Linked DNA regions of Rhinolophus ferrumequinum. The protein of the gene in region 2 purifies or fractionates together with the protein of the main gene of each other region. This does not show direct contact. Links are inferred from orthologs where the notes say so. Each region holds a gene or a part of one and is shown on either strand. Other genes may lie near its edges.

What was found.
Region 1: the proteins of FUS (region 2) and SNRNP200 purify together in Homo sapiens (affinity purification with mass spectrometry; 3 studies listed by BioGRID and IntAct, with this or other methods). This does not show direct contact. The link is inferred for Rhinolophus ferrumequinum from reciprocal best matches to the Homo sapiens genes FUS and SNRNP200.
Region 3: the proteins of FUS (region 2) and SF3A1 purify together in Homo sapiens (affinity purification with mass spectrometry; 3 studies listed by BioGRID and IntAct, with this or other methods). This does not show direct contact. The link is inferred for Rhinolophus ferrumequinum from reciprocal best matches to the Homo sapiens genes FUS and SF3A1.
Region 4: the proteins of FUS (region 2) and HNRNPM purify together in Homo sapiens (affinity purification with mass spectrometry; 4 studies listed by BioGRID and IntAct, with this or other methods). This does not show direct contact. The link is inferred for Rhinolophus ferrumequinum from reciprocal best matches to the Homo sapiens genes FUS and HNRNPM.

What each region holds. Positions count from the first base shown.
Region 1 is NW_022680356.1:1,944,001-1,951,071, reverse strand, and holds the start of SNRNP200 (U5 small nuclear ribonucleoprotein 200 kDa helicase), read left to right. Parts: upstream 1-4,053; 5' UTR 4,054-4,161; coding exon 4,162-4,206; intron 4,207-4,641; coding exon 4,642-4,805; intron 4,806-5,666; coding exon 5,667-5,838; intron 5,839-6,377; coding exon 6,378-6,570; intron 6,571-7,031; coding exon 7,032-7,071. UniProt on the Homo sapiens protein: Catalyzes the ATP-dependent unwinding of U4/U6 RNA duplices, an essential step in the assembly of a catalytically active spliceosome. Plays a role in pre-mRNA splicing as a core component of precatalytic, catalytic and postcatalytic spliceosomal complexes.
Region 2 is NW_022680357.1:239,639-247,795, forward strand, and holds the start of FUS (RNA-binding protein FUS), read right to left. Parts: upstream 3,124-8,157; 5' UTR 3,001-3,123; coding exon 2,988-3,000; intron 1,578-2,987; coding exon 1,553-1,577; intron 1,464-1,552; coding exon 1,312-1,463; intron 606-1,311; coding exon 461-605; intron 296-460; coding exon 108-295; intron 1-107. UniProt on the Homo sapiens protein: DNA/RNA-binding protein that plays a role in various cellular processes such as transcription regulation, RNA splicing, RNA transport, DNA repair and damage response. Binds to ssRNA containing the consensus sequence 5'-AGGUAA-3'.
Region 3 is NC_046308.1:19,547,891-19,555,497, reverse strand, and holds the start of SF3A1 (splicing factor 3A subunit 1), read left to right. Parts: upstream 1-4,581; 5' UTR 4,582-4,681; coding exon 4,682-4,744; intron 4,745-7,607. Other genes in the region: CCDC157 (coiled-coil domain-containing protein 157), read right to left, coding at 4,356-4,416. UniProt on the Homo sapiens protein: Component of the 17S U2 SnRNP complex of the spliceosome, a large ribonucleoprotein complex that removes introns from transcribed pre-mRNAs.
Region 4 is NC_046301.1:57,246,767-57,254,721, forward strand, and holds the start of HNRNPM (heterogeneous nuclear ribonucleoprotein M), read left to right. Parts: upstream 1-4,842; coding exon 4,843-4,955; intron 4,956-7,955. Other genes in the region: E3 ubiquitin-protein ligase MARCHF2, read left to right, coding at 852-1,010. UniProt on the Homo sapiens protein: Pre-mRNA binding protein in vivo, binds avidly to poly(G) and poly(U) RNA homopolymers in vitro. Involved in splicing.

The DNA.
Region 1 (7,071 bases), on a different chromosome or scaffold from region 2:
TAACGGTGTGGCCCTGTACCACAGCATTCCAGCACAGCCACCCAACCTACAGCTGTGACACTGGATACACCTAGTGCTGGATACACTGGATACACGAGATCAAAGTCAACGTCACCATTGTGTGCTTCCTGTACGGGGCATTAAGAAGGACACAACCCGCTCAGAGAATATTCTTGCCCCCCATGCCTAACATCTATAACCCCTACAGTGGGGAAACAAAGTCAAATAGAAAGACATTTTACAAAATAACTGGTGTGTGCCCTTCCAAATGCCAGTGTCCAGGAAGATGAGAGAGAGAGAGAGGAAGGAAGGAAGGAAGGAAGGAAGGAAGGAAGGAAGAAAGGAAGAAAGGAAGAAAGGAAGAAAGAAAGAAAGGAAGAAAGAAAGAAAGGGGAGGAACAATTCCTGACTTGAGGAGACTAAAGAGATGACGATTAATGCCATGCATAATCCTGCACTGGATCTTGGGAGCTGAAAAAATGCTGTAAAAGACATTATTGAGATAACTGTCAAAATTGGAATATGGGAATAGTATCATATTACTGTTAGTTAAGAAAATGGCCTTATTCTGTAAAAATTCACACAGACGTATTAAGGAATAAAGGGACACGATAATGTAACTTTAAACTATTTTAGAAGAAAACATTAGAGAGAAATAGAGAATGGTAAAAATGAATTTGGCATATGTTCTTTGGTTAATGTGGATAAAGGGTACATATAAGTTTGAAATTACTTCAGTATAAAAATTTTGAAAATAAAAATGTTACCTTTATAAACACCTTAAAATACTCCATTAATTTCATGATACAGGGCACATCTTGAGCAAACATGTTACCCTTTAGAGAAATTCTATGCTTAATTTCAAGAAGAGTAAACATTCAGAAACCCCCGCTGACCTAGTCACTTCCTGTCTCAGCCGCCCATGATGACATCCGTCCAACAAACAGACATGGTTCTCATGTAACAGTGAATGCTTGCGTGCTCTTTGGTTAATGTAACTGATCATATGAATACAGGAAAATGAAAGGAAGAAAACAAAAATCATCCACAACCCCACGTTTTGGAGTAGGTCTGAAAGATGTCCACAGAGATTGTAGGGCCCAACCCCACTCCCTGCAGTGGTGAGGCCTGGGGCAAGCCATTGGACCACTTTATGTCTCAGTTTCTCCATCTGCAAAATGGAGAAACTAATACGGCCTTGCTCAAAGGATTGACAGGAGGAGTTAGTATTTACAAAGAACCTAGAGCTATGCCTGGCCCATGGTAAATGAATATGCAGTTACATAAAGTTTCTTTTTCTCTTTTTTAAACTGAAAATCATGACAGGCAAAACTAATCTATGGTAGAAAAACATGAGAACACTGATTGCCTCTGGGGGTGGAAACTGATTTAGAAGGGCCTGCGGGAACTTTCTGGGGTGATGATAATGTGCTATATACTGTGGTAGGGGTATGCATTTGTCAAAGCTCCGAGAATTTTACATTTAAGGTTTGTGTATTTCATTATACGTAAATTTTATTTCAAAAGATCGAAGAGAACTGTAAACAGATATTGAAATATGGTTAGTGATGTTCATGCTAACATATTTAGGGGAAAGCGTACAGATGTCTGTACTTTGAAATGCGTCAAAAAATAAAGACGGATGGATAGAGGGTTGGATAGATGGACAGAGATGTGAGAAAGCACGCATGGTAAAATGTTAATGTTAGAACTGAGGTAAAGTTCCCCATCAAATTCCACGCCTTGACTGTGACCCCTTTCCAAAAAGTCTACATTTATATATATAGGTATGACATTATTTCACTTTTAAACGAGCATATGGCAACTTGCACACTGAAATGAGTTCTCAGTCCCTGCACACCAGCCACCTGGAGCGGCCACACACTTAGATTAACGGTGTGGCCCTGTACCACAGCATTCCAGCACAGCCACCCAACCTACAGCTGTGACACTGGATACACCTAGTGCTGGCAAACTGTTACCTCCTGTGTGAGGGCTGGAGTCTGGGGAAGAGCCAACAGTCATTCAGAACTGATTTTGGTAGGTTCGAAGGGCCATTCAGGTTCAGTAAGACCATTTGGGATAGAAAGGAAGGATATGACAAAGAAGGAGGCAGTTTTCCTGTGTTTGAATCATAAACTGCCTCCAAACACAAAGCGTTTCATAAATACCTTTGAGAAATACAGCTCTATTGGACAATACTTGACACTCACTATTTCCTGGCATACTTATAGGCGCCCAGCAACCCTATGGAGTAGATGAAACTATCCTCGTTACACAGGTGACACACCTGACCCACAGAGTCACTAAGGACTTAGAACTTATCTAACATTGCACAGCTGGTAAGGGATGAAGCCGGGATTTCAACCCAGGCAGTCTGATACAAGGGCCCATGTGTTGAATCACACATCAGACTGCCTCTTGGTTAAAAGCAGGGCACTGCCTCCTAAGGTGAAGACCTGGAAGGGAACAAGCCTGCTTACAAACATACACCAGGTGAATTAATTAGAAGATCAATTTTGTCTCCACCTAGTTAAACTTACATATATCTACACGTCATATCTGTCTTGTTTCCTGGTGCAGTGACTGGCACATAGAAGACAGTAACATTTTGCTAAATGAGGACATGAACGAATGAATGAAGTAGTTCAAAAGTATGCATTATCGGTGAACTGATGTTCCAGGCAAATGGAGAGAGAACTACCATTTACTGAATCCCTCCTCTGTGCAGGCCACTGCATCTACCGGAGTCCTGTGATTGAACCTCACTCTAACCCTATGAGCTGCATGTTCAATCCTGGGTCAGGAGGCATTTCACCATCGAATAAGCAAGTTACCAATGCACTTTGAATGACCCAGCATTCCTTTTCCCCGGCCCCAAGCGTTCAGGCAACCTAAAGGCTTCCTGGACACACCAAAGACAATCACCAAGTTCCTCTGAGTTTTGTTCTCATTTCTAATGTTTCTTAACCCCTGCCTTAGGTACCTCCAGGAGGTACAGCTCACCTCTTGCTCCGTCTCCTGCAGTAGCCCCAGCTGTACTAGCTGTCTCTGGCTCCCCTACCCCCCCTCTCCCACTCTCCTTCTTACCTTGCAATGCCCAGCTCTGTGAGGAACCCCTGTACAGAGGGCCTGGAAAGAGAAGGACTGCCTTTGAGGCCAGTGAAGCCAGGCAAGTCAGCTTATCTTCTCTGGGCCTTGATTTCTTTATTGGTAAAAGTAATCAATAGATTTCATTGGGCTTTATGGAGATTAAATGAGATAATGTATGCCAAAGTGGCACTTTGCAAATGCTTGCCACATGATAGTTTTTTGCTCAATCTAAATGTTGGTGCCTCTAATCAAACACCTGATGTAAAGTTGCAAAAAAACGAAAAACCCCAAACCAGAAACCTGCTATGGCTTCCTACTGTCTCCTAGGCTAAAGTGCAAACTCTTAACAGTGGCATTTTTTTTTCCCAAGAGATTCTAAACGATATCTATCCAAATTATATCCCATGGTTCCATTTGCCCCGCGCTCAGCTAAACTGAGCTCTTAGCAGTTCCCAGGACATGCCTCAGTAGGCTGTTATGAATAGTACTTCTATGGACAAGAAACCCAAAGGAGGACATCAGTCACTCACTGAGGCGCGAGCGCGCACACCCGCAAGTTATTATAAATTACTCGCTGGGTGCTTCAGTTTCCTCAGCCGGAACTGGAGCTAATTAGCTCCTCCCAGCCTGCACAGCCCACAGGACAGATGCCACTGTCAGGAGCGGCTGGAAAAGCGCTGGGGTTGGAACGAGGGGGCTAAGCAGGTGAACGTTTCGTCAGGAAGTGAAGAGCCTTTGGTGCTGAAGCCGGAGCCCGAGGTAGAGGAAGAGTATGGGCGGTGAGTCCGAAGTGGCAGGAGGTAGCCGGAACCAGAGTCGGAGGGTCCCGGGATTCCGGGACCCGGAATTCGCCGGCCCCACCCAGAAGGGAAACGGCGCGCGCCCGCGGAAAATGCGCCCCACTTGCACTTCCGGCGCGCGACCCGGAAGCGGAAAAGAGCTGGTTTCTCTCCGTCTCCCGTGCGTCTCTCCTGCGTCGTTCCGACCCGTCGGGAGGGCGGAGAGGCGGCATTTCGTAGTGTGTGGTAAGGGGTAGCGGAGCGCCAAGACCCCGGAGCGGCCGCGGCCATGGCGGATGTGACCGCCCGTAGCCTGCAGTACGAGTACAAGGCGGTGCGTATGGGCTCCGGGAGGACTCCGGGCTCGGGAGCCCTTTGGGGAGCGAGAGGCGGCGGAAGGTAGTTTGTCTGAAGGCCTGCAGGAGAACCGCGAGAGTGGAGGGGAGATCGGATCCGGGGTCCCTGTCCTGTCAGCGGTATATCCGCCCCCTTCCAGATGCCACCCCCAACATACCCAGCACTGTCCGCGGTGTGGCTTACTATGGGCGTTGTTAGGAGCAGGATGGGTTAACTGATTTCGTTGCCATTTACTCATGCGCAATTGTGGGATACTACTAGTGGGTCTTGAGGAAAACATCTTTTTCTGACTAGTGATCGTTAGCACCTGCTTGCTCCAGTTTTTACTTCCTTTATCATCCTCTGGCATCCCTGTGACATAGGAATTGGCCCTGCTCGTGTCAGAGGTTCCATAATATTGTGATCTTTTTAGAACTCGAATCTTGTCCTCCAAGCTGACCGCTCTCTCATCGACCGGACTCGCCGGGATGAACCCACAGGAGAGGTGCTGTCCCTGGTTGGGAAGTTGGAGGGCACCCGGATGGGAGATAAGGCTCAACGGACCAAACCACAGATGCAGGAGGAAAGAAGAGCCAAGTGAGTACCAAGGGGAAAATGGTTTTCCTTCAGAGCCAAAATCTCTCTTTCCTTGAGCATTTGAACAGCTTTTTTTGCTGAAATGCTGGGTGTAAGATGAGACGTCAATAGCAGTGAAACAACTCCGTGAAGATAAAAACAACATAAGAGTTAGAAGGTCTTTTGTCCTCAACAAATGTGCCTGAAGTGGAAAACAACGTTTAGACCTTTTTCTAACATATGTGTTTCTGGTCCATAGAGAGATGTTAATTTTCTTCATGATGTCTTTAAGACTCTTGCTATTCCCTTGTCACGGTAAATCTTTTTTTTTCCATTACGGATTTCAGAGTCCTATTTTTTTCCTCTGCTGTTGCCCATGTTATACTTTTGTTGTTATAGACTAATGTTTAAGCAGCCATGGAACGAAACACAGGTTTTTTTCACTTTTGGGGGGGATATAGTTCTTTTACATTTTTGTTACAATTTATTCGGAATCAATGGCAGTAGATTCTTTTGGCGCTTCATTTTCCCTGGCTAGAAAAAGAAAATGTGTCTGGGGTGAAAAACTATTCAAAATCCAATTGCACAATATGGTCTTACAAAATAAAAAGGTGGTTTTGTTTTTTGTGAATGAATGAGGAGGATGTCTTCCTGTGACATTCAGTGCATCTAGTGGGAGAGTGAGAGGAGTCCCGCTCTGGTGCTGTGTTCCCGGAAGGAAACACACCTGCAAGTGACTAAGGCCAGATGGGACTCGTGCTGAGGTGCAGTCGCTTGGATGTTACCTGTGTGCCAAGAAGCTGAGGAGGAGGGTGGGCTTTCTTAGTGTTGCCTCCGAGGGCAAGGTTCTGCCCGTTCGTTCACCATCACTGCGTCTGCCAGGCGAAGGAAGCGTGACGAGGACCGGCACGACATCAACAAGATGAAGGGGTACACGCTGCTGTCGGAGGGCATCGACGAGATGGTGGGCATCATCTACAAGCCCAAAACGAAGGAGACCCGGGAGACCTATGAGGTGCTGCTCAGCTTCATCCAGGCTGCTCTTGGGGACCAGGTGAGGCAGCCCCGGGGTGAAGCCATGGATGTGGACACGGAGGGACTCACAGCTGGGTGCCAGAGAACCTTGCCTGTGGATGTTCCTGTGTGGGCCATGCCAGTTTGCAGAGGTGGCTGATATTTCCTGAGCACTTACTTTATGTGAGACAGTGCTTCCCGTGTGGTTAGGGACCATTATGAGTCTGAGGCTCTGGTCAGGTGGGTGCTAGAGGAGGCGAGGATCGAGAATTCCAGAAGTTTGGCAGGCCAGTGGAAGACTATGGAGCACGTATACCACCTGGAGAAGTGTGGCAGACGATAGTGGAAGCCATGCCCTCTCCTTCCTAAGACCACCTACCTAATCATTTTTAAAACAGAGGGGTCTTCAATTATGTGAGTCTGGTGGCATTTTGAATTAACATTAATGACTATGATCAGAACCTGGAATGCAGGGTTTAAACAGGTATGACTCCTTACATCCTGTTGTCACATAAAGCTGGTTGGTGATGTTCTGCCTGTCATTGTTCTAAATGTTTGTTGGGTCGTTTTTGCCACCAGCCACGTGATATTCTTTGTGGGGCAGCTGATGAAGTTCTGGCTGTCCTAAAGAATGAAAAGCTTCGTGACAAGGAAAGGAGAAAGGAGATTGACCTGCTGCTGGGTCAGACAGATGATACCAGATACCACGTGCTAGTGAACTTGGGCAAAAAGATCACAGACTACGGTGGAGACAAGGAGATCCAGAACATGGGTAACTGAACTCTTTATGTCCTGATCACATTAACTGGCTGCTTGTTAACCCCTAAACATGATCTAGCTCCAGTCTTTAAAACAGCTGAATGTGTCAGTGAGTTCCCATAACCTGTGGTGTTTCTTGAATAGTTACCATTGCTGGACACCAGAAGCCCTAGATCACTGCAGCCATTTCTTACTCTGGACCCTTTTGTTGTATAGAACATGGGAGAAAATCTGGGCAGAGCCTGGGGAGCTCAAGTGGTTGAGCAAGCAGAACAGGGACTTAACCCAGTTTTGGCAGGTGGGGAGGGCCTTGCTGGTGGCAGTACAGGTGGCTCTCAGTGTCCATTGTAAAGTGAGTCCTTAGACCTGCCATCTGTCCTGAGAGGGAAGTCAGGCAACTGGGGAGGAAATGAGCTCCCTGGTGCTTCCTCTTGCTGTCTGTTCACTGTCCTCTCTAACCCCTTGTTGTTTCAGACGACAACATTGATGAGACATACGGGGTGAATGTACAGTT
Region 2 (8,157 bases):
AGGGAACAAGAAAATCAATTTTAAGAAGCCTTTTAGGGTAAGGGCCAAACAAAACACAAATCCTTCCAGAAAACAGGTATGAGACAGAACTGAAGACACCTGCTCACCTCCCCCGCCTCCACCACCCCCTCCGCTGCTGCTGTTGTACTGGTTCTGTTGTCCGTAGCCCTGAGGGGGATTATAGGAGCTTGGCTGCTGTCCGTAGCCTTGCTGTTGGCTGCCATAGCCAGACTGGGGCCCATAGCCTCCACTCTGGGGCTGCCCATAGCTGCTGCTCTGAGAACCGCTACCGTAACTATGGAAGAGGAAAAAGAAAAATGCCAGCATGTCCAAAACTTGCTTTCACTTTGTACATCCCATTCTCTGAACTCTGACCTCAACAGACACCCCCGCTACCCCTCCTAAGTGCCCCTTATAGATTCAGCCCTCCTGTTTCTGGCCTCCCCCCACAACGCCTTACCTTCCCGACGTGTTGCTAGGAGCTGGCTGCTGGCCATAGCCAGGGTAGGAAGACTGCTGCCCGTAGGACGACTGAGAACTCTGGCTGCCGCCATAGCCACCCGCTGAGCCATAGCCCTGGGGAGCTGACTGAGTGCTATAGCCTGCTACGTGGAAAAGAGAAAGGAAGTCATAAAAGCTACAAGGAAAGAGAAAGGCACAGAATGAACTGAAGAAAGCATTACATGTTACCTAATGCTCTACTTGAAAAGTCGCCTCTTAGAACCTGTTTAGAAATCTTGCAACTCATAGACAAAGGAGTTACCCTTCTCTTCTATGCTAAGGCTCATGTTCCAACTTCCACCAGCTTCAGAATTCCAATCTCAACGCCTTCATCCCAAAGCCCGTCTCCAGGACCACCAGTAAGCACAGCCCCAGAGGCCCCACTCGTTAACAGCACTTCAACCTACTCAGCTGTGCAGTATAAAATAGGACAACCCACATTCTCTACACTGCAGGACCTCAGGGCAAACTCCACCGCTCTAGGTAGCACATGATAACAGTCTGACTTCAAACATCTTCAGGCAAATCATGTCCTTCCTGTTAAGTATTAAAAGCCTACAACTTGCTCCCTTTAGTGAATACTTTCCCCACATTTCACCTTCATGCAACACAAATAGAAAAGTAAAAAGCCAAAAATGAAAAGAAACAAGCCCATAAGCGTTTGGTTTGAAAGGACTCAGATGCCAAGGGTTATAGACTGGATGAGGGACAAAGAAACATGTGACAGTTAACACTTCAGCTTAGGTTTAAGAAAAGCAACATTCAGAAAGAGCAGGAAGAGGCGGGGTGGCCCACTAAAAAGAGACTCACTGTTCTGGGTCTGTCCGTAGGAGCCGTAGCTGCTCTGGCCATAGCCGGAAGTGTCCGCTGACTGGCTGTAACCACCGTAACTCTGCTGTCCGTAGGGCTGATTGCTCTGCTGGGAATAGCCCTGTCCAGGCTGGGTGGGGTAGGCCCCATAGCTGGAGCAAAGAAAACCGGTGCAATCAGGAAACCTACCTTAGCAACCCTGGCCCTCCGCAACCTCTGGACGCCCAGAAAATACACTCACCTTTGGGTTGCTTGTTGGGTATAGTCTGCAAAAGAAAAAACAATCATGTCACCTTCGCCTGTCCCTACGAGAGGAGAGCACAAAGCAAAGAAAAGGCGCATTGCTACGAAGACTAAGAGGCCGCAACACCCACCGGCAACACCAAGTCTCGGCGGACACCCACCGTTCCCGGCCCGCAAATTCAACCGGCATCGGAAACCACACGCACTCACACACGTCTGGTTTCCACCACCGCTCTGGGAGGAAGGCCCGGCCGAGGGTCGAGCTACACAAGCTAAGGTCGGAGCCGCCGCAGCGGGACGGCCTTGAACGCAGGCCGGAGGCAGGAGGCAGCGCTGCTCCGGATGTGGCTCCGTGCTCCAGCCAGAACACAAAACCGCCCCCGGAGCGGGCCGCCTTCTACTGTCCGCCCCCCCTGGTCTGCGAGGCTGGGGAAGCGGCCTTTCAGCGCAAAGCTAGACACCCGAGGGGGGACCCCGGGCGTCATCGAGGCGCTGGTCTCGGGAGACGAGGTCACCGGCTCTCGAGCCCCGGGGCTGAGGCTCCCCGGAACCCGTTTTCTCACCGCCCCGCCCTCCCCGAGGCTTCCAGAGGGGGCGAAGCGCCCCCAACGAAGACGCACCGGCCAGACCCCCGCTCCCCACGGCGCCGTAAACGAGGGGCTTCCCCGCAGGGACGGGCCAAAAGACCGGGGGAGGGTGTGGCCGCTCCTTCCCGTTCCCACCGCGGAAAGAGGAAATTCAGGCGGGAAAACGCGGGGGCCCGGGCCCCACTCCCCTCGGACGACCTCCAGGCACCCCGCCTCCGGGAAACGGGTGCGCGGCCCGAACCCCGAGCCACCGCCCCCGGCCGCGTGGCACCCGAGGCGGGAACGGGGAGGTCCCGCCCCTTCCCGAGGGACCCCGGGGGCGGGGCCCACACCGGACGCGCCCCGCCGCGTCTCCCGCCGAGGGTCTCGCGACAGAAAGCCGCCCGACACGGGGCGGGGGCGGGGGGGTTCGCGCCACGAGCGAGGGGGGAGGGGCCAGCAGAGCGCGTGCGCCCGCCGAGTGCCCGGATGCAGCACTGCGACAAAGCGGGCCCCACGGCCGGGCCGGGGACCCGGGGGGAACGGCCACGGACGCCGCGCGTGTCCATCCGCGTCCCGCGTTTCCAACCGCCCAGGGGCTTCCCTCTTACACGGGCTCACCGTCGTGGGGCTTCGTAACGGGGCTGCGAAGGGAGGCCCTCCCGCCCCGCGCCAGGCGCCAGAGCGGCGAAACAAGATGGCGACATCGGCCTCCCCCTTCCACCCTCCGCCGCCGTTTCCCGCCACCGCGGTACGAGACGCTCCTCTACGCGACCGCCGCCCGGTCTCCCCGACCCACAAAACCGCCGCTGGGCGGGAACGAGGCCCCCCGTCGGCGCGCCCCTGCCGCCTCGCGCCCTCACATACCGTTTGAGGCCATGTCGGCGCACGCGCGCACGGGCCGACACGCAGCGAGATCCCGACACTACGGAGCACCGACGCCTAGAGGACTGAGCAGCCCCGCCGCCTGCGTCGACGTTTATGTACGCTTCCCCGCCTACGTACCGCGGAGGAATGTTCCAAAGGTGAAAGTAAGGGGGGGAGTCCGAGCGGCCGCCTCCCGCTCTACGGTGAACATAGACGGCTGAGCCGACAGAAGGGAAGCACGTCGACTAAGAGGCTTCCAATAGTATGTAGAACCATGTGTTTTCTAACAAAAAACTCCGATTCGCTCTGCAGGACTGGCCCACAATGATCTCTACCCCCCTAAAATAATGGTACGGTCTGATTACCCTCTGGGGGCGGGACGAGGGGGGGCCCAGGGCATCGGCGGACGGAACTGTAGTCAAAGCCTGGAACCGCAGGGCGGAACCGAAATTTCTCGGGCGGGCCCGTTTCCCTGGGCCCCACTTTCACTGGGGACGACGCGCCCCTACGCTGCACTCCCCTTGCACTGCACCAAGACGCCTCGTAGCTCGGGCGCCATCCTCCCCGGCTCTTGAAAGGACGTTTGTGTCTTCCCTGAAACACCCCCGCCCCCCCCCCCCCCCCACCCCGCACCCCCCCCCCCCCCCCCCCCCCCCCCCCCCCCCAACCCCCCCCCCCCCCCCCCCCCCCCCCCACCCCCACCCCCCCCCCCCCCCCCCCCCCCCCACACAACCCCCCCACCCCCCCCTCTTGCAGAGTCGCGTTTCCTTCGTCCTTGCCAGGGTGTGTGGATTGTGACGTTTCAGCTGCAGGACAGCATGCAGCGTCGCCTGACGCCGCGCTCATCGCCCCCCCAAACCCGCGGGACCTCAGTTTAGAGATGAGATGAGGGGTCTCTCAGTCTTTTACTGATAAGGAGCTTCTCTTTATTTTCCCGAAGCCCTACCAAGCACCACTGTGGACATCCAGTAGTGACATGTTTGTATAGGGCTCAAGTGCACAGTTAATGGTTTTTTTTTTTTTCCCCATCACGATCTTGGGAAGCAAGTAAAGCTGTGCCCATTTGATAGGGAAGGAAAGCGAGGCTCAGAGGCCAAGTGCAGCGAAAGGTCAGGGGTTCTCATTCGACCCCAAGTCTGTGTGGCTGCAAAACTCGCCTCTCGTTGGTGACGTGAACCCTTTGCGGGGCCCTGAAGTCTGTCCACTCCCTGGGAAAGCAAGGACAAAACGCGACGGTCGAAGTAACCTGTAACTTGCCTGGAACGGGAGATTTGAACGTATGGAATAAAACACCACCAAGGAAGTCATTCCTGGTTCACAGGCACACAGATTGTCCTTCCCTACATACCTGTGACCTCGGTTCCAGAGTTCCTTTGTAGGTTGGACGTGTTTTCCCGGAGAAACAATTGAGGGCTACGCCCTAGGCCTGCCCACAAACTGCTGCTAACCCCGATTTAGGCCCTGATGGCCCTGTCCCCCACCCCTACCCGCATTGAGAGGGCAGTGTGACTCTGGAGTAAGGGCAAAGGGAAATCCATCACTCATTCATTCGTTAATTCTACAAATATTAAGTGTTCTGGGCACTGAGGATGCACAAAACAGATGAAGTAATTTAACAACAAACTAACATTTAACCATAATAGTGTTTATATATTAAATGTGTAACGTTTATAAGAGCATAACAATTTCATAAAGCTTGCTAAGTATCAGGCACCATTCTGAGTGCTTTGAGTATAGCTTGTTCGATCTTATTCACAATAAAAGTTGGTGGAGGAATACATTTTTACAGATGAGCAGCCTAGGCACAGAAAGGTCAAAAGCTATGCCCAGGGCGACCCAGAAAAAGTGGCAAAGCCAAGTTCCCAACCCAGGCAGCCTGTCTCAGAGTTCCTGCTCTTAACCCCTGTGCTTCAACAAACATCTCTTGAGCACTGTGTGATATGTACAAAGCATAAAAATGGGTCAGTCCTGGAACCACAGCACCTTATAACCCGTGGCTGAGATGTGGGTGAGACCCAGAGACACCAAAGTGTACTCAAATTAAATGTGCTGTGACATAGAATCAAGGACTCCAGACACTATAGGGAAAGCGAGTCATCCATCAGGTAGACACCCAAGGACAGAAGATGAAAGAGAGGTGGTAACACTGAAGCCAGGCCTCCCAGGATAAGTAGGAGTTCACCAGCAGTGAAAGGAAAGGGTGTAACTGACAGAAGGAATGGCAGAGACAAAGCCATGGGTGAGGAAGGGCACTCGTGGGCAGAGTGGCAGGGAGAAATAGGCTCAAACTGTGACCTCCAGGAGGTAGGTTTCTCCGGACTCGTCTCTCTGAGTCACAGAACACGGGGCCTCTTACTTCTCCTTAAAAGTCTCTTTACACGAAGGACACCCCTCTCCCGACCCTCCCACCTTTCCCACCGTCATTCTATCTCCTGCCCCTTCGTTCTCTGCCTTTACTCACCCTCCAGGGTTCTGTCTTCAGCCTTCTTCGCAGCTCCTCTGAGACCCAAGACCCCAGCTGTGGGCCTGCTGTGAGATGCAGCTGCAGACAGGTTCTGTGTAGCCTAACGTTGTTTTTAATTTTTGTAACGAGTTGCCAAAACATAGAATAGGGCAAACTCCACGCTTCTGTCTTTTCTTGAAAACTGAGGGCTCGGGCCATCCTGTACATACTGTTGTTCAAGTATGTTATGGTGACCCCGTACACCCAATGCTAAAGAACACTGGGGTTCAGTTAGCAAGAAAGGAGAGGAATGGCTATCGCAATCTCCTTCTCATTTTTGTTTTGGTCTGTTCTCACACTAGCCATACAAATAGTGTATTGAAATAGGCCAGAAACGTAATTAGGGTGTATCTCTTAAAAGGGAAGATTCCATTTATAGCAACACTTGCCTGAAAGATACTCAAACTGAATACTGTATTTCATCACAACTGGTTCTGACCAGCTGAAGCTAATAAACAGGTGTGGCCTTTGAGTGACTCACTGGATGCCGGACCCTTATTGGACCTAACGAAGACTCCTTCCTGGCCAATGAGCAATGGGACTCTGTTTTAACCAATTGGGTCAGACCTATGAATTCATTCCCATCCATCCCAAGTGTTAGTTTTTCGTTGTTAATTAGCATATGACCCTGACAATCCCTTCCTAATACTCAAACCTCTCTTGACTTCTCACTCTCAGCAACCCTGCCAGTGAATGCCTCTTCACTGATGAGTTCCTTTGACTGTCAAGTACCGTCAGCCTTTTTCTTTTTTTAAACTTCGATGATCTTTGTTTCTTCACTGACGATCTTTAGAAATCATTTACATTTAGCTTTATAAAATAGTTTTAAATGAGAATCAGGGCCACAGTTTGACCATCTAGGAAAAGGGTCATTAAACTTTTCTGTTTTAATGGGGAGATGGTAAATACTTTAGGGTGTGTTGTTTTTTAACTTTATTTATTTTAAGTGTGTTTTTCCAGGACCCATCAGCTCCAAGTCAAGTAGTTGTTTCAATCTTGTTGTGGAGGGCGCAGCTCACAGTGGCCCATGAGGGGATCGAACCGGCAACCTTATTGTTAAGAGCACCACGCTCTAACCACCTGAGCTAACCGGCCACCCCCTACTTTAGGCTTTTTAAAGGTCTCAGTGGCAAGTCCTCAGCTCTGCCTTCATATCTCAAAAGCAGACATAGACAATAGGTAAATGAATGGGAGTGTCTGTGGTCCAATAAAACTTTACTTCAAAAACAGGCTGATGGCTGGAGTTGGCCCTAGGGCCATCATTTGCCAACTCCTGAACTAGGATTCAAGCCATTAAGCTATGGTCTATCATAAAAATCAACCCAGGGGCGGCCGGATGGCTCAGTTGGTTAGAGCACGAGCTCTTAACAGGTTGCCAGTTCAATTCCGCATGGGATGCTGTGCCCCTGCAACTAAGATTGAAGACGGTAACTGGACTTGGAGCTGAGCTGTGCCCTCCACAACTAGATTGAAGGACAATGACGTGGAGCTGATGGTCCCTGGAGAAACACACTGTTCCCCAATATTCTCCAATTAAAAAAAAAAATCAACCCAGAAGTAAGGTAGAAATCAAGTTGGAGATCCCCAGCTGTATTTGACTCTCCCCAGATCTAGCCCTCTGCAGAATGGTCCCTAGCAGAAGAGGATCAGAACGCCTCACCATTTCTTCCATGAGCTGAGTGGGGATAGCCTGTCGGACCCCAGACAGTTCATGTACTAACCTAACCAAGGCTTTAGTGATCAGAAACTTAAGACCATTGATAAGAAAGGTTGTAGCTATCAACGGATCCAACCCAATTCCAAAACCAAGATACAGAGCGGGCCCCCTCTGTAGATAACTAGGAGAAATACCAACCCTTCAGAGGGCAGGGCTAGTCAGAATCACCAGCAGGCCACCATCCCTGCTAACTGATTGGCCCAGCTTGAGACGATTGTCCTGGATCAAGAACTGGCCAGGGAGCTTAGGCCGTGTCCTTAGAAATGACTGATGGTATGAGATTGGAAAGAGCAGTCAGGAACCTCTTTCTTCAGGGCATTTTAGGCCATACCGAGGCGTTTGGTTTATTATGAGAGCCCTGAGCTGTCACAAGCAAGGGCAAACAATTTTTAAATTTGATTTAATAGCAGCTAAGCTTCCACCCCTGTGGAAAGCAGACAGGAGGAACGGTTATTGTGAACTGGACAAACCATCTAGAATGCTGGCTATCTAATGAGATATTCTGCAATGATAGAAATGAGCTGTCCCCCGGGTAGCCACAGGTGGTATGAACACTGGACATGTGGTCAGTGAGACTGAGGAACTGAACTTTAAATTCTATTTAATTTTAATTAATTTTAATTTTAGTAGCCACATGTGTTTAGTGTCCACTACAGTAGGACAGCACAGGTCTGGAAGTCCAGCACACATAGCTCTGATCTCCTGGGATTCAATAGGAAACCCACCACATCCTTATAATAATGTGCCCCTTTTTTATTAAGAGAGTTCGAATGGGTTTCTGTTACCTATACTTGCCTGCCTCATACGCACTGTTGTTTGAGATTTTTAGAATTCGGAACATGCAAACAAGCGACGGGAGAAATATCTGTGACAAGAGAAAAATTCTAAGACATTCTAAATTCAATTACAGCAGGCAGGAGAGGAAGAGAAACACAGGAATAATTAACCGG
Region 3 (7,607 bases), on a different chromosome or scaffold from region 2:
AAAACCTGAAACTCTGTAATGACATCTATCCTACAGGGGGCCCATTATCCATTGATACAGAGAGCCCAGTCCTGCCCTTCCTGGCTTTGTGTCCTTGGACAAGTCAGTGCACCCCTCTGAGCCCCAGCTGCCTCAGTTGTGAGGTGGGGACATCCTTCCCAACCAGGCTGGGTGGTTGTGAGGCCTTGAAAGTGTCCCCAAGTCAAGTGCTTGGTCCAGGGCAAGGCCTCAGTCAAGTTCTCCAGCAGGAGTGACTATTATTATTGGGATGACTATTACTAACAGCTACGACAGCAAAGGTCACCCTAGTCTGGAGCCACGGCTTTCTGTACTTCCGCTTTTCCCCTGCGGCCCATGCAGCCTGTTTCTTGTCCATCTTTAGAGTCTATGGACATCTGAAGACAGAGATTTGGATGAACCATCCATGGCCCCTGACTCAGAAGGTGGAGAAGTGACACTGCCCCAGCCCGTCCTCTGGCTCATTGCACGCCTCGGGGGTTCTCCTCTCTGGCACCTGCCGTCAGAGCCAGCCCTCTCTTCAGAGCCAGGCAGCCCTGTGGACGCTGAGTACTGGTCCCTCCCCACCCTGTGCATTTCTCAGCATCAGAAAGTGCTTCCTTGCACCACAGCCCCTCCTGGCAAGGGCCGTTGGGCAATATTTAGACCATGGCCCCTTGGGCCCACAGTAAGTCCAGGACTGACCATGACACCTCTCTTCCTCCAACCTATTTCTACCCCCCAATCTCTCTCATCTCAGAAAATGGCACCCCCACTGAGCGCACCTGGGCACTTCCTTGAGTCCCCTTCCTTTACTTCCACATCCAGTACCAAGTGCTGCCAATCCCATGTCCAAAGCATGCTGAGAACCCAGCACTTCTGTCCATCAACACTGCTCCACACTCACCATCTCCCCAGACCACTACCACAGCCTCCAAGGGGTCACCCTCTTCCCTTTGCCCAGCACCACCTCTCACATTCTATATATGAAGCCAGAGTGATTATTTAAAAAGGCAACTCCTACCCCAGCTAGAACCCCTGAATGGCTTTCTACAACATAAAGACTGGACTGCTTCCCTAGGCTCGAGCCCTGGGTGGTCTGCCCCGACCTCAGCTTCTCCCCACCTACAATTTGCGCCCCCCACCCCCATACTTCCTCTGGATAAGATACCTCCCTCAGTTCCCCAGGCCAGGTAAAGTCCCGTTACACATTCTCAGAGTATCCTGTTCTTTTCTATCCCAGCACTCACCACACCAGCACTGAATCATTATTTGAGTAATTATTTGTGAGGGGCAGTCTGTCTCCCTGCAAGCGCATGGACTGTCTTTTGAGTTCACTGGGGTATCACCTGGCCACCTGGGCCAAGGGGCCCGAGGGCCAGCCTGTGCCCACAGGTGCTGGGACACTCAGAGGTACCCAGGGGTAGCTCCCGAGGGCTGAGCTGGCCTCTCTGGCCTCCCAGAGTACTGTGCCCTGTTCTCACCTCTGTGTAGGTGACTGCCTATGGAGCTGGATGTCTGCACGGGCGCCTGCCCAACTCTCGGACCAGCCTAAGGCTCAGGGTCAGAGGCTCATCCAGGTACCTGGCTTCCTGTCTCCAGTGCAGGGCTGGCCCCAAACAGCTCTTGGGTCCCTGGGAATGGATGAAGGCAAAAGTGAATGAGCGATCACTCAGGGAGAGCTTATTGGAGGACAGGGAGGAGGCTGTCCCAGAAGAAGGAGAGTGTTCCCGGCTGGATGAATGGGGTGAGGGAAAAGGCAGGTGGGGTCACCTGAGTTGAAACTGCACATAGACAGCATCCGTCAACCGTGCTAGTTCTGACCACAGGACCTACTGTGTACCACTTCCCTACTGTGTACCACTTCCCTACTGTGTGCCACTTTCTTTATACAGATGAGAAAACTGAGGCTCTGGAAAGTTAGGAGGTTAGCCTAAATTCACTCAGGGAGCTGGGATTCTTGAGTCCAACATCTCTGTTGTCCTCAGGCCATGCTGCTGCTGGAGCAGCACTGTCCAAAGGAAATATAATGAAGCCACATATGGGATTTCCAATTTTCTACTGGCCACATTAAAAAAGTAAAAAAAGAAAGAAAGAAAGAAAGAAAACAGCTAAATTAATTTTAATATTTTATTTAAATATTATCATTTCAACATGAAATCAATATAAAGTCATTAAGGGGATTAAAAAATTTTTTTTTAATTTTTATTTTGTTTTGCATTGAGTCTCAAAATTCAGTGTCCATTTGACACTTACAGCATATCTGAGTGTGGATCAGCCACCATTTTCAAATGTGCCACCACATGAGCTGGTGGCCACGGTATTGCACAGTGTAGGTGTAGAGGGCCAGATCCTGTGTGTTCATTCAGCAAACGGTGACTGAGTACCTACTATATCCTGGGCACTGTGTCAAGAATAGGGATAGAGCAAGGCACATGGAGCCCTGTCCACGAGGAACCATCATCTATATCTGAGGGTCTCTTCAGGGAGCGAATCATGGGTGTGTCAGCTCTATCAGTCTCACCCACAGGGCCCTGAGTATCTACCCCACAACACACACACACGCACACACACACACACACACACACGCACGCACACAGGCCCATATCCCATACATATATGTTGCCGTGGTGACTGCCTCTAGTGAGATATTGCCACCCATGAGATTTTATGTCCCCAAGAAATGAGGCAGAAACAGACAGAAAAAAACAGACTGAAACATCCTGGTTTTCCTTTTTGGAAAGGGAGGATGGGAATAAATAAAGCAAGCAAGAAACCCTACCCTGGAAGGAGGCGCTGGAACTCAGGAGCTTGCTTATGAAGACACCAAGAAACACTGACCTGTTCACCCTCAAATAACTCTATCTGCCATCTGAGGCCATCTAAGATACCAACTCCTGTTAGATTCCAGTTCTGATAAGCACCAGCAAATGCCAAAGAAGCAAGAATATGTAAGACGAAACTGCGACATTAAAAAATAGCCAAGTTTACCTGTCAATTCTTCTGAACATTGGGGATTTGCAGATATCAGCATGGTTTGAGAACCACTTAGGTGTGTGTCAAGTGTAGGAGCATTTGACATCAGCTTTCTAATTCCTGGCTGAGTGAAACTCTGTCTGAAGCTGCCAGCCCTGCACAGTTCCTGAGGTCACATAGGTGATGGTACTAATTGAGCCGACACTGCCCTGAGGTAGGAGGGGCAGCTAACTGCCTTTCCTCAGTTCCCTTAAGCTCAAGGTAGACTTCTCATTCACAGAGAAGGGAGGGAGCCTTTCCTCCATTCCCATTCAACATTCGAGCCTCTTCCCTCTCTGAGCCCTAGGACCCTACCCCTCTGGTAAAGATTATGCCTACCTCCCCACCAATGCACCTGCTGAGATTCAAGGTCACCACCATGAAAACCCCTGGAAAACCATGTATATGGCAATTGTCAGTCTCTGACTCAGGACTGTGAATTGCCTGGATCCCTGGGGACACTGAAAAAACCGTGTGAAGACAAAGGAATAAGTAACTGTACTAGTAAAGGAGTAAGAATGGCCTGGGTTTGGGTTCCCACTCCACCAACGCTGAGCTTCACTGTCCTCATCTGAAAAGAAGTTGCTATAAGAAATAATTGTTGTCATGCATGCAGTGTTTGGCACAGGGTTTGGCTCATGGTAAATGTTCAATAAATTCTAGATATCATTATGATTCTACATTAATAATAAACAACAATGACATAAAACAGCTATGAGGTGTGTGTGCGAGAGAGCATGAGAGACAGGGAGGAGACTTGGGAGGGCATCTCTTCCTATCATGCCCCCATTTCACAGGTGAGGAAACTGAAGTCCAGACAAGGCCTCAGAGCTGGCCCGCATTCAGGAGTTGGAAAGGAGGGGAGAGGGTACGGGGAGGAGAGAAAGCAAAAAGGGCGGGATTCAAGTAGTGCCTCAGGGAAGCGAGGAAAGTAGCCTACAGGGAGGTACAAGGGGGAGCGAGGGGGTGAAATCTGAAGCAGCTGCCCCAATTTGACACAGTCCGTGGGACTTGAGGGCGGGACTGAGGAAGGCAGGGAGTGAATCTAGAAAAGGCGGACCCACGGGAAAAGGGACCAGAGATAGTTACAGCTTGGGACTTGGGAGGGTGCTTTGGGGGAGGTGGGCCTGAAGCGAAAGAGGGGGATAAAGCAGAAAGGAAGTGGGGCTTTGAAGAGGAGGGCCCGAGGGGGTTTTCCAAAGTGAGAGACCAATTGGAGGGAGCTGGGGCCTTGAAAGGCGGGGTCGGAGGAAGCGAGGAAATGGCCAGTGGAGTAAAGGAAAGGTGTGCCAGTGGAGTAAATGGGGAGGCGTCCGGCAGGTGATGTAGATAGAACGTCTCACCCGTCTCCGGCGTCGCAGCCTCAGCCCCTGTGTCTGGTCGGCTCATAGAACTGACTGGCATGCCAGCCACTTCTGTGAAACCCGGCAAACTCTAGCCGTGTGCCCCGACCGTTGCCATGGCAACGGCGTCTCGCAGGGCGACTCCCATGGAAATTACGTCACGGTGAAGGGGCGGGTCCGGAAGTGCGTCAGCCTTGTCTCCTCGGCGGCGACTCTTTCGGCCGCCGCCATCTTGCGGGGTCGTCGTACTCGCGCTGCGGGCACCGTTTTGACGCAGCGCTGCTCACCTACACCGAGGCGGACTGGCAACCCTGAGCGTCGCAGTCATGCCGGCTGGACCTGTGCAGGCGGTGCCCCCGCCGCCGCCTGTGGTCACCGAGCCCAAACAGGTACCGTGCCCCCTTCACCTCAACCGCCAGCCCGAGCCTAGGCCTGGGCGCTCCTCACTTTTGCAGGAAGAAGCGGCCGCCTAGGCGGGCTTCGAGGGACTGCAAGTCCCAGGAGGCAACGCGCTGCCCTCCAGTAGCGAGCCGAGCTCTGGGACAGTGATTCTCCAAGCGTGGTCTGCGGACCAGCTGCGTCAGCATCACCTGGGAGTTTATTAGAAATGCGGAGTCTCCACCCCAGGTCTTTTAATAGGAATCTTCATTTTAACAAGATCCCAAGGCGATTCATTAAAATTTGAGAAACATTGTTCCAGCCCATCCACCGGTTTTCTGTGGCAATTGGACCCACCGGCTCCCAGCCTTTGCCCAGTTACCCCTGATTTCCCAGCCTGCGGGGTACAGCTCTGAATGTTAATTCTCAGCATCTACTCGGTGCTTAGCCTAAACCAGACACCGTGCCAGGCTTCCAAGTTACTGGAATGAGTGAGGCACAACTCCTCCCTTAGGGAGCTCACAGGCTAGTGGGGATACAGATATACTTAATTCCTCAACAAATGGTTAGTGCCCCATCACTGTAAATAACAGAGTGGAACTTAAAAACATCTCAGGTAACCGAGGAAGAAAGACGTACATAAACAGTTGCAGTATGTTGTGATTTGCCCTATAACAAATTTCAGGTACAAGAGAGACAGTAATCTAATGACCATTGCTTTGACCGGGTGGAGGGGAGATTAAAGTAGGTGAAGCCCACAGGCGTGCGAGGTAAATTGCTTTTAGAAGGATGAATAGGAGTTCAGCAGGGAGGTGATTGGGGGAGGGAAATGGCATTATTTATTCATTCAGCAAACGTTTATTGAGCACATATTGTGTGCTGACCACTGCTTTGGGTTCAGACTACAGTGGGGAACATGACAGAAGAGGTCCATACCCTTTTTTTCCCCACATTTAATTTTTTTTTTAATTAAAGTTTATTGGGGTGACAATGGTTAGTAAAGTTACATAGGTTTCAAGTGTAAAATTCTGTAATACATCATCTCTATATCCCATTGTGTGTTCACCACCCAGAGTCAGTTCTCCTTCCATCACCATATATTTGATAGGTCCATACCCTTTCCACAAATATTTAGGCACCTGTGTGTCCTGGCATTTTCCCAGTCGCTGGGGAAAAATAAAGTGATACCACGTAAGTGCAAAGACAGCAAGATAGGAATCAGATGGTGCCTCTGGTGAAAGGTAAATAAGTGTGGTTGAAGCACAGTGTTGGGGAAGCGGTGGCAGGAGATGCGGTTCAGAGGATTTGAACTTCAAGTAGACAATGGGGAGAAAAGGATTTTAAGCAGGATAATGACACATTCATGTTTCAGAAATTCAGGTATATAAGCAGTGATACAAAGAACTTCGCAAGGAGGATGGAGGATTCGTCATTTTATTTAAAAAAAATGCTGAGGGCCTGGCTACATTGGGGGTGAGCAGAGGGTCTGGCAAGCTCATGTCACAAAACGGCTTGTAGTACAGGCTCTCCAGCCGAAGTGGTATGTTGGAAATCTGGTTCTGCTGCCATCTGGGCCAGTTAAGCGCTCCATTCCTCAGTTTTGTCATCTGTAAAATGGAGATAATTAAAGTATTTACCTCACAGGGTTCTCATAAGGGTTATAAGAGTTAATATAGTTAAAGTGCTTAAAAAAGCATATGGCACCTACTCTGCTCGATAAATGTTACTGTCACTGAATGTGGAGGTTGAAGAAGGGGTAGGAGGCCCAAGTTTCTGGCCTGGTTGACCAGGTGCCTGCTTGGCCATTCATGAGGAAGGAGGATAGAGTTGAAAGTACCTAGGAGCCAAGTGGATCTAAAGCTCTAGCACACAAGTGATTCGGGACATTCATTTGGGCGGGATTGTTCAGCCTAGAGGTGGTAGGGGAAATGGAGGATGTGGTTGTGAGTTCTGGCCTGAGGACAGTGTGAATACCGGGAAGAGAATCAAGAACAGAGTTTTGGGGGTGCCCATTATAGCGCAGGAGGGGAACCAGAAACCAGGAAGGACTGGGATGGAATGCTGAGCAAGAAGGAAAGACAGGCGAGAACAGGGTTTGGGAGTTGAGTGGAGAGTTTTGTGAAGGAGTGGTCATTGATCACGTGGTCGGGTAACTGCTTAGTGGGCTGTGTGTAGGTAGTTGCTTTTGACTTTGGCAAGAGCATTTCAAATGGATGGGGACCAAATGGGAGGTGAGGAAGTGGGAACAGTAAGGCTGTGAAAACTCAGGATGTTTAGCTAGCGGAGGAAGGCGGGGGAGAAGGCCGCAGCAGAAAGGAACATGAGGTCAGGGGAGAAACTATTTTTCTGAGACTTGACACTTTGTTTACTAAAGGAAGACTGGTGAGGAAAGAATATTGCAATGTATTGATAATGAATGTTGAGTATTCCAGTGGAGTTTCACAAAACATTTTGAGCATTGAGTGGTGAAGACTATGGGTGGATACAGAGGAGAGGGTATTCAGTGCAGAAGGAGCAGCCAGCAAGGAGTGTCCTGTTTCTTCATTGGGCAAACAATCGCTATATAGCCGTCCCTTGGTGTGGGGCTTTCTAGATTCTGGAACATGGTTTCTCAGAATGTGGTCAGAGCTCTCTGCATCTGAATCACCTGGCCTCTTGGTAAAAATACAGATTCCCGGTGTTACTGAGATGGTCTAGCTAGGGGAGCCAGGGAAGCTGCTTTTTATTACTAGTTCCCTAGGAGGGTCCCATGTAAGCACAATGCAGTTAAGAGAACCACTCTTCTGAAGAAGAGGGTTCTAACCCAAAGGAAGTTTGCAGGAGAAGGTCTAATGCTCTCAGAAATATGCTAGAAGGGTTTAACCTGGGGGGAGG
Region 4 (7,955 bases), on a different chromosome or scaffold from region 2:
CAGAAAGTACAAAGAGTTCTCATATATTCTCCCCACACCCAGGCACAGCCTCCCCCACGGTCAACATGGCACCAGAGTGATACATTTCTTACAGTCGTGAACCTCCATTGACACATATGTCTTTATCACCCAAAGTCCGTAGATTATATTAGGGGTCACTCTTGATGTTGGACGTGCTATGGGTTCAGACAAATGCATCATGACATGTACCTACCATTAAAGTAGCACACAGAATAATTTCACTACCCTAAAAAGCCCCTGTGCCCCACCTATTCATTCTTCCCTACCCTAGCCCCTGGCAACCACTGCTCCTTTTACTGTCTCCATAGTTTTGCCTTTCCCAGGATGTCATAGAGTTGGAATCATACAGTTTGTAGCCTTTTCAGATTGACTTGTTTTACTTAGTAACATGCATTTAAGGTTCTTCCATATCTTTTTATGGCTTGGTAACTCATTTCTTTTTAGCACTGAATAATATTCCATTGTCTGTATGTCCTAAGTTTATTTATTCACCTACTAAAGGACATCTTGGTGGCTTCTGAGTTTTGGCGATTATATGACCTATCGACATTTAATCCCTTCCAGGAGATTATACCACTTCACTCTCACCCTCTGAGAGATCCCCTCACCTTTGCAGACCTGTGAACACTGGTGGGAATATTCCCAGGAGAGTGAATGGCTGTGTGTGGGCACAGTCTGTATGAAAATTGCCTGGCGGCTGACTCTGCTTCTGGAAGCAAGAGCTCCGGCCCTGGTGTGGCCCAAGTCCGGAGGCTCAGGGGCCCAGTTTTCCTCCCTTGGGGGTGGAGGCCTGCCGGCTGGCCTTCCACCCATGCCTGCACTGCCCACAGGTCTCCTTCCGCTACCATTGCCAGCTGTATACTGAGTGGAGGAGGACCAACCAGAAAGTGCGCCTGAAGATCCGGGACACGGATGGCCCTGAGGCTACCCAGCACTCCCCACTGGCCGCTGGACTCCTGAAGAAGGTGGCAGAGGAGACACCTGTGTGAAGGCCCGGCTGGCGATGCCCTGGTGTTCAGAAGGACGGGAACTGCCCGACCCTTCCTGCACGGCCAGAACGCTTCTTAGGCCAAGAGATGCCAAGTGGAGCTGATTCTGTGATGCTGTGTGAAGGTGTTTTCAGATTATTTTGCACACTATTATACATGAGGAGGACAGATGGATGTGGTCCTGAGCTTCAGACGGAGCAGGCACTCTGATCTCATTCTGAGGTCCACTCGGCCCCTTGTGGGCCCGCAGCCGTAGCCATAGGCTAGTCGAGGGCGCCCATGGGGCGGGGGTCCCGCAAGCTTCTTGCGCTTCTCTGCACCTGGCAGGCTCGCATTCCTGGCACCCTCGACTTTATAAAGTTGCACCGCGTTTCACAAACCCACCCTGAATGAATAAAAGGAGCTCTTGCTGGATAAAATGGACTTGTCAATTACATTTTGGAACCGAGGCCTCAAAGTGAGGGACCTGGGACCAAGGGGAATCAGGGACCACACAGAGGTTTTAAAAAAATGCAGTAGGCTGGTTTGAGGGATCTATCGTGGAACACAGCAGAAGAAGTCAAGCCTGAGTTTTCAAGTGAAGAGCAGGTAGCAAAGTTATCTAATAAATGATTTCAAATATACATAGGAAGAACAGTTGCCACTTACTTTGCATCTACTATGGGCCAGATGCCGTGCTGGGCCCTTGACACTTATTAATAACTGATGTCCACACTTACTAAGGGTCTCGCTGGATGGGGCTCAGTTTGGAGCCTTCACAGGCTTCCTCCGACTCTCACCACCATCCTCGGTGGGAGGAATGGCTATGACCTCCACTTTGCAGATGAGAAGACTGAAGCCCAGAGTTGGGAAGCCTCTGTCTAAGGTCCCACAGCTCTAGGAAGTGGAGTTGGGACAGATCACAGGTCTGTGTGGCCCTAGTGCTGAGCTTTGTGCTTCCCCTTCTAGGAGGACTCAGGAAACAAGGAGAACGGTCATGCTAATAACAGCAGCCACTTTTTGAGCGTTTTAGGAGTCTTGGACGTTTGGGAGCTCTCTGCATCGGGCCACATTTAACACTCAGAGCAGCTCTGAAAACTGGGTTCTGGGGTTCTCTTATTAATCCCTTTGGCAGATGAGCAAATGAGGCTCAGAGCAGTGGGGTCGCTCACCCAAGGTGACACGTCCCCGATGGGCCTAGCAGTGTCTGGCACACTCTATTGTTTTCTGCATGAATCCCGGTCTGGTCTGTGGCTCACCCACAGAGGAAGAAAAACCCTTTTTACGCCAGACTAGAAGGGCAAGGAGAGGCTGGCCAGCTTGGCTGCGGAGTGGAAGGAACAGCAAAGAGAAAGGCCTAGGGGTTGGAACCTGCACGGCCCATAGAGGGAGCAGCATGGCAGACGTCGGTGCTGTAGCAGTGTGATTGAGAGGCAGAGGGCTCGGAGGGAGGCAGTGAGACAAGCAGGGCTTTTAGGCATCTGGTGGTCTGCAGAAACACGGGGTTACACCCTTCTCACCTCTGCAGCTGCTCACTCTACCCAGGCCTGGCACCTACCTCTCAGGCCATCTTTGGAGTGTGGTGCCCCTGGAGATGAGGCAGAGAGGCCCCAGGATAAGCCATCATGAAACGAGAAAGCTGTTTCCTTTTCAGGTCTCTTCTAATATTTTCAATTATGTCCAGGAGAAAGTTGTAGCTTGGTGCTAAGGCTGTCTTTAATGACCCCTAACCTTAGCAAAGAGAGCAAGTCTTAGGCTCAGAGACTTTGGCAGCATGCACGACTGAATTTATACTTTAATAGCATCATCCTCTTATTTAGTTTTTGTTGTTGTTGTTGTTGGGGAAGGGGAACAGGACTTTATTGGGGAACAGTGTGTACTTCCAGGACTTTTTTTTTTCCCCCAAGTCAAGTTGTTGTCCTTTCAGTCTTAGTTGTAGAGGGCACAGCTCAGCTCCAGGTCCAGTTGCCATTGCTAGTTGCAGGGGGCGCAGCCCACCATCCCTTGCAGGACTGGAGGAATTGAACCAGCAACATTGTGGTTGAGAGCCCACTGGCCCATGTGGGAATCGAACCGGCAGCCTTCGGAGTTAGGAGCACAGAGCTCTAACCACCTGAGCCACCGGGCCGGCCCGGCCCTCTTATTTAGTTTTTACAATAAGCTATTTATAGGAAGTTTTCAATATAAAACACAATTTTAAAACACGTACTTTTAAAAGGAAAAACAAGGTGTGTCAAAGGAAAGTGCAAAGTAAGTAATAGTTCTGAAGATGGCAAAACCCAGGAATCTGGGCAGTATTGGGTCCAGCTTGCAGGAGACCAGCCTGGGAGAGTTTGTCTCCTCAGCCAGGGCCTGGCTTGTCTGAAATCTCCAATCACACCCACTGTGGGAGAAAGGATCAGAGAGGTGGCTTCTTGTCCCTGATGCTTTGCAATGGGCCTCTTCTCCCTGGTTCTGACAGACTGCTGTGGTCTCTTCCACCATCTCTGAACACTGCTGGGCAAAGAAATTCAGAGGTTTATGAGGCTTCTTCTGTCCCAAGAGCCCCTCCAGTGTAGGAGAAATCTAAGGGGGAGTGGGGTGAGGTCCACAGATTCCAGCGTGGCCATGGCAGAAGAGTTGCTGTGCACAGTGGATTTGAGTAGAGAGGAGATATCAGGAAGAGGCATGGGAGGCGGCGGGACTTGAAGATGGGCCAGAGAAGGGAATTCTGTGAGACAGGTAGTTTGCGACGTATATGGGAATGGAAGTGGAAAGAGAGGGTGGGGCATAGCCTCCTGTCATGTTGGGCTACCTGATGAATTTATTCTGTAGGTCAGAATCACCAGGCAGAAGTAAGCAGCTGGGAGAGGGTGGCAGGTGAGGTGGTTCTCCAGAGACTGGTGGAATGTAGTCATTCTGTGAGAGAGGTGGAAAAAAAACAAAACAAAAGCATTTCCCTTTGTTAGCCTTGGGAGAGGTTGGTGGCAACTTCTGTAAGATTCAGTGAAGCATTTCGAAGTTCCAGAGACACCAGAGAGATGGGCTGCCGGGGAAGGAAGCCTGAAGCCTCTGAACGCACCCCTAGGCTCTGGCCTTTTCTCTGGGCTCTGCCTGTAACAGCACTGAAAACCAGTTTGGGGTCAGGGACAAGCCCTCAGGGCAGAGGGACCCAGTGTCAGGCAGAAGGAAGCTCCAGTTGTGGCTAATGGGATCTGCTGGCCTGTAGTTCATTTTTCCCATCACATTTGGCTTCTGGCTTGTCCATTCACTCAATAAACGATGAGTATGAATACATACTAAGTCCTCAGCTATGCTTTTTGTGGTTGATTGATGGGTTTAGTAAGAAAGGCTTAGGCCATGGGCTCTACACCCGGGAGCTCCCAGCGAGTGGAGAGAAAGGCTGGACAGTGCCAGTTATTCTTGGTGCAGGATGATACTTGCTTAGAGACATCATTTTGCACACCAGTCAGTCTGGCCCGTCGGTATTCTGCCCTTGCCTAGCTAATTCCTTTATATTCTAGTAAACACAAATTTCGCTGCCCCTCCGCTCTAGCTGATTACGTAAAGAAGGAAGTGACTAGGTCCAGGTAGGGGGTGGGGAGATGACTCCTGCTCCCAGACCTCGAGAGCGGGTGGAGTATCCAGTAGACGTCTAACGAATTTGTCGCGGGAATGAATGAATAACAGCTGCGGGTCCGCGCATGCGCGCGGCGGGGGCATGGCCCGGAGCAGGGGCGTGGCCCGGGGGGAGGGGACTAGGCGGGAGCCGGCCGCGGCGCGCGCAGGCGTTACTGGTCGCTCTGGATCACGTGAGAGCGCAGGCGCAGCGCCGCGCAGCCCGCTCCCTCACACAAAGCCAGACGCGGAGAAAATGGCGGCAGGGGTCGAAGCGGCGGCCGAGGTGGCGGCGACGGAGCCCAAAATGGAGGGGGAGAGCGGCGCGCCGGGCGCGCCGAGCGGCAACGGGGCTCCGGGCCCGAAAGGGTGAGTATTCCACGGCTCCTTGTTTCGGGTCGGGCACTTTACACGGCAGTTGGCGGTGGCTCCGTTAAGTCTGTTGGCTGCCTCCCCTGAGCCGGGCCTCGGCCCAGGCCTTCCCCGCGGGGCCTGCCGCGGGTGGAGGCGGACAAGGCGTGAGGAATGAAGCCTGGCAGTCTCGGGAGCGCCTCAAGGATTACTCCTTTCTCCCAGGCCTCGGGCGTCTATTCTTCCGGCTCCTGAAGGCCGGGTCCGAGGTCTCGGGTCTAGTCTTTGCGCGCGGGGATGATGGCGCGGACCCGGCCGGGAGCGGGCGAGTCCCAGAGTCTGCGGCCCGCTCGCTTGTCGGGTGACCTTGGGCGCGTGGTTTCATATCTCCCTCCAACCCCTCCAGTGCTCGGCGTCTCAGTTTCCCGATCCCTAAAGTGGGGGGAGGAGAGTGCGCGCGCAGACCTTGGCTCGTGGTCGACCACGGTAAACGGTAGCGGAGGCGGGTAGCGGAGGTATAGGTAGGGACCGGGAGGCCGGCTCCGGGGGCCTTCTCTTCCCCTCCCCCTCCGGCGCGCGCCGCCCCCCTCTCCCGCCCCGCGAGAAGTGCCTCGGTCGGGACCGCCCCTCGCCCCACGCTCTGGCCCTGGCTCAAGTCCCTCGCTGCGTCCCTCACTTCCTCCCCAGGTGCGCAGTAGTTATTTATGGAGAGATCGGGCCTGCTGCTCCGTGTGCACCCTTAGAAACAGGAAAAGAAAAAAAAGAAAACATTCTCTTCCGTGTTCTAGGGGAAGATTTTCCATCATTCAGCTGGCCACCCACTTCCAAATTCCGTCACCTTTCGAGTCCTGCTTGAGGCTCTGTCTCGGATCCTTGGTTTTAAAAATTTCCTTAAAGCATCATTTTGTGTCCCTGTGAAACCCCCCATTTTGATTACAGTCACCAGAAAGACGTTTTGGCTCTGACCAGCAGCTGTGGGGGAGGACAGGGGAAGGCTGGGGCACACATCTGATTTCCTAAAAGTTTTTAAAAATTGCGGTAGCATAAAATTTACACTTTTAACCATTTTTAATGTATGATTAAGTGTCCTTAAGTGCATTCACAGTGTCGTGCAAACATCACCACTGTCCATGTCCAGAACTTTTTCATACCCCAACTAAATTGTAGCCATTAACCAATAACTCCCCATTTTCCCCCCTCCCCAGGTCCTTGTTACCTCAGTTATACATTGTCTCTTACGAATTTGCCTTCCAACACATTTTTAATGTGCTTAACTATAGTTTGTGGAGATTAAAAGTGAGTGTAGTTAAAGCAAGGTTAATGAGCACTCACTAATTACTAGCTACTATGCTGTTAAACTTTCCTTGGGTGGGGAGGAACAAAATACCGTGGTTCCTCGTCCTCAGGAATCAAGAGAAAGGCATTCTGGAAATATTTCCAACACTTTACTATTGAAAACTTTGGAGGGATGTGTTCAGTTTAGACTTTTTACATCATCTGTCTGGGGGGAGCCTAGTTGGACTTCTGAGGGCCCTGGCAGTACATTTACAGTACATTTATTTCCTGTATTTTTTCTTTCAAAGTAGTTATCACAGGTTGGAGCTGCTAGAACTGTGGTAGGTGAGAAGTTGAATTAGTCATGGATTATGTAGCATTTGAGGTACTTTAGCAAATTTCCCATTTTCCCCACTGTTTAGTTTCTTCAAAATCATTTTATGACTGATTTATTTGACAAACATAGCATGTGGACTATTAAAAATAAAAATTTATGTTTACTGTAGATTACCAGGGTGGTAATGTTAGTGTTAAGTGTTTTGCAACGGAAGAAAAAAAAATTTTTTTTTAACAGTTGAGAAAACTCCAGTTAAGATAATTGACCCAAAGAGTCTAGGGAAGGCCATCTTGACTCCAAGGCCTTAGCTGCTTCCACAACACCACCCTGTAACCTCTTACTAAACAGTCATTTGAAATGTATTATTTAAACCAGGGTCTCCGTGCTTCGCAGTGATTTGAGAGCTACTTTGTGTGTGTGTGCACAGCGCGCGCCCCATAATTTAAAAAGGGATTGTATATTTGATAAAAAGAATTTTTGAGGCACGTTAGATTGTGAGCTCAGGATTAGAATAGGGGCCTCTGGATTGTTCAAATGCATGCTGTCAGCTCTTTGCTTTCACTTTGCTCTTTGATTTTATTCACAGTAGTTAAGCAAAGAGATAGAGTCCGCAAAGATTAGGTTGTTTGTTTTCTTTTCAGGGTCCTCAGGTGGGTTCTCCCATTACCATGTTTTGAAAGCTGAATTGCTCCTTCCATAGTCTGTAATGAGTATAATGCCTAGGTTTCCTCAGCCGCTGTTCTGGTGAGCTTGTTTTAAAACCTAATCAGTATCTGCAATGGTAGAAGGCTAGGAGTGAATCAGGCTACCTCCCTACTTCCCTCAAGAAAATTATTGGTAGGAAAATATATCACTGCCAGTCACTGTGCTGAGTCGCTGCTTTAATTAAACCTGTAGGTGTGGATAGTAACCTTTTACAGGTGAAAGAACTGAGGCCTAGCAAAGAGATGGTGACCTTGAGGTTTAGGCTTGGTATGGGACCCTACTACCTTAGTCACCTTAAACGTTGCGCTTAACATTTACCAAGCAATTTTTTTTGTTAGGCTGTTTGTTGATCAGCCCTGTGAGCTACCATGGACACAGGTTTTGCTGGTTTTGCTGGTAGAGAACCAGCGAGGAAGAGCTTGAGTCACGTGGCTAATTAAGTGGTGGACCTGGAGCTGGAATAGTGCTATGAATAGTGCTCTCCACATCTTATATGCATTAGAGGAGCTCAGGATTGAAAGGATTTCTGTGAAGAATCATTTTATGTAAGGGATGGTTCTCAAGGGGATTGGGGGCAGGGTTGGAGAATCTTTACCCTCAGGAAATGTGTTCAGGATTTTAGGGGATTGGGGTTGCCATTTCAGAGTGCACTCTCGATTGAAAATCTCTGAAAGTAATGAGATTATTACACATGGGAATGC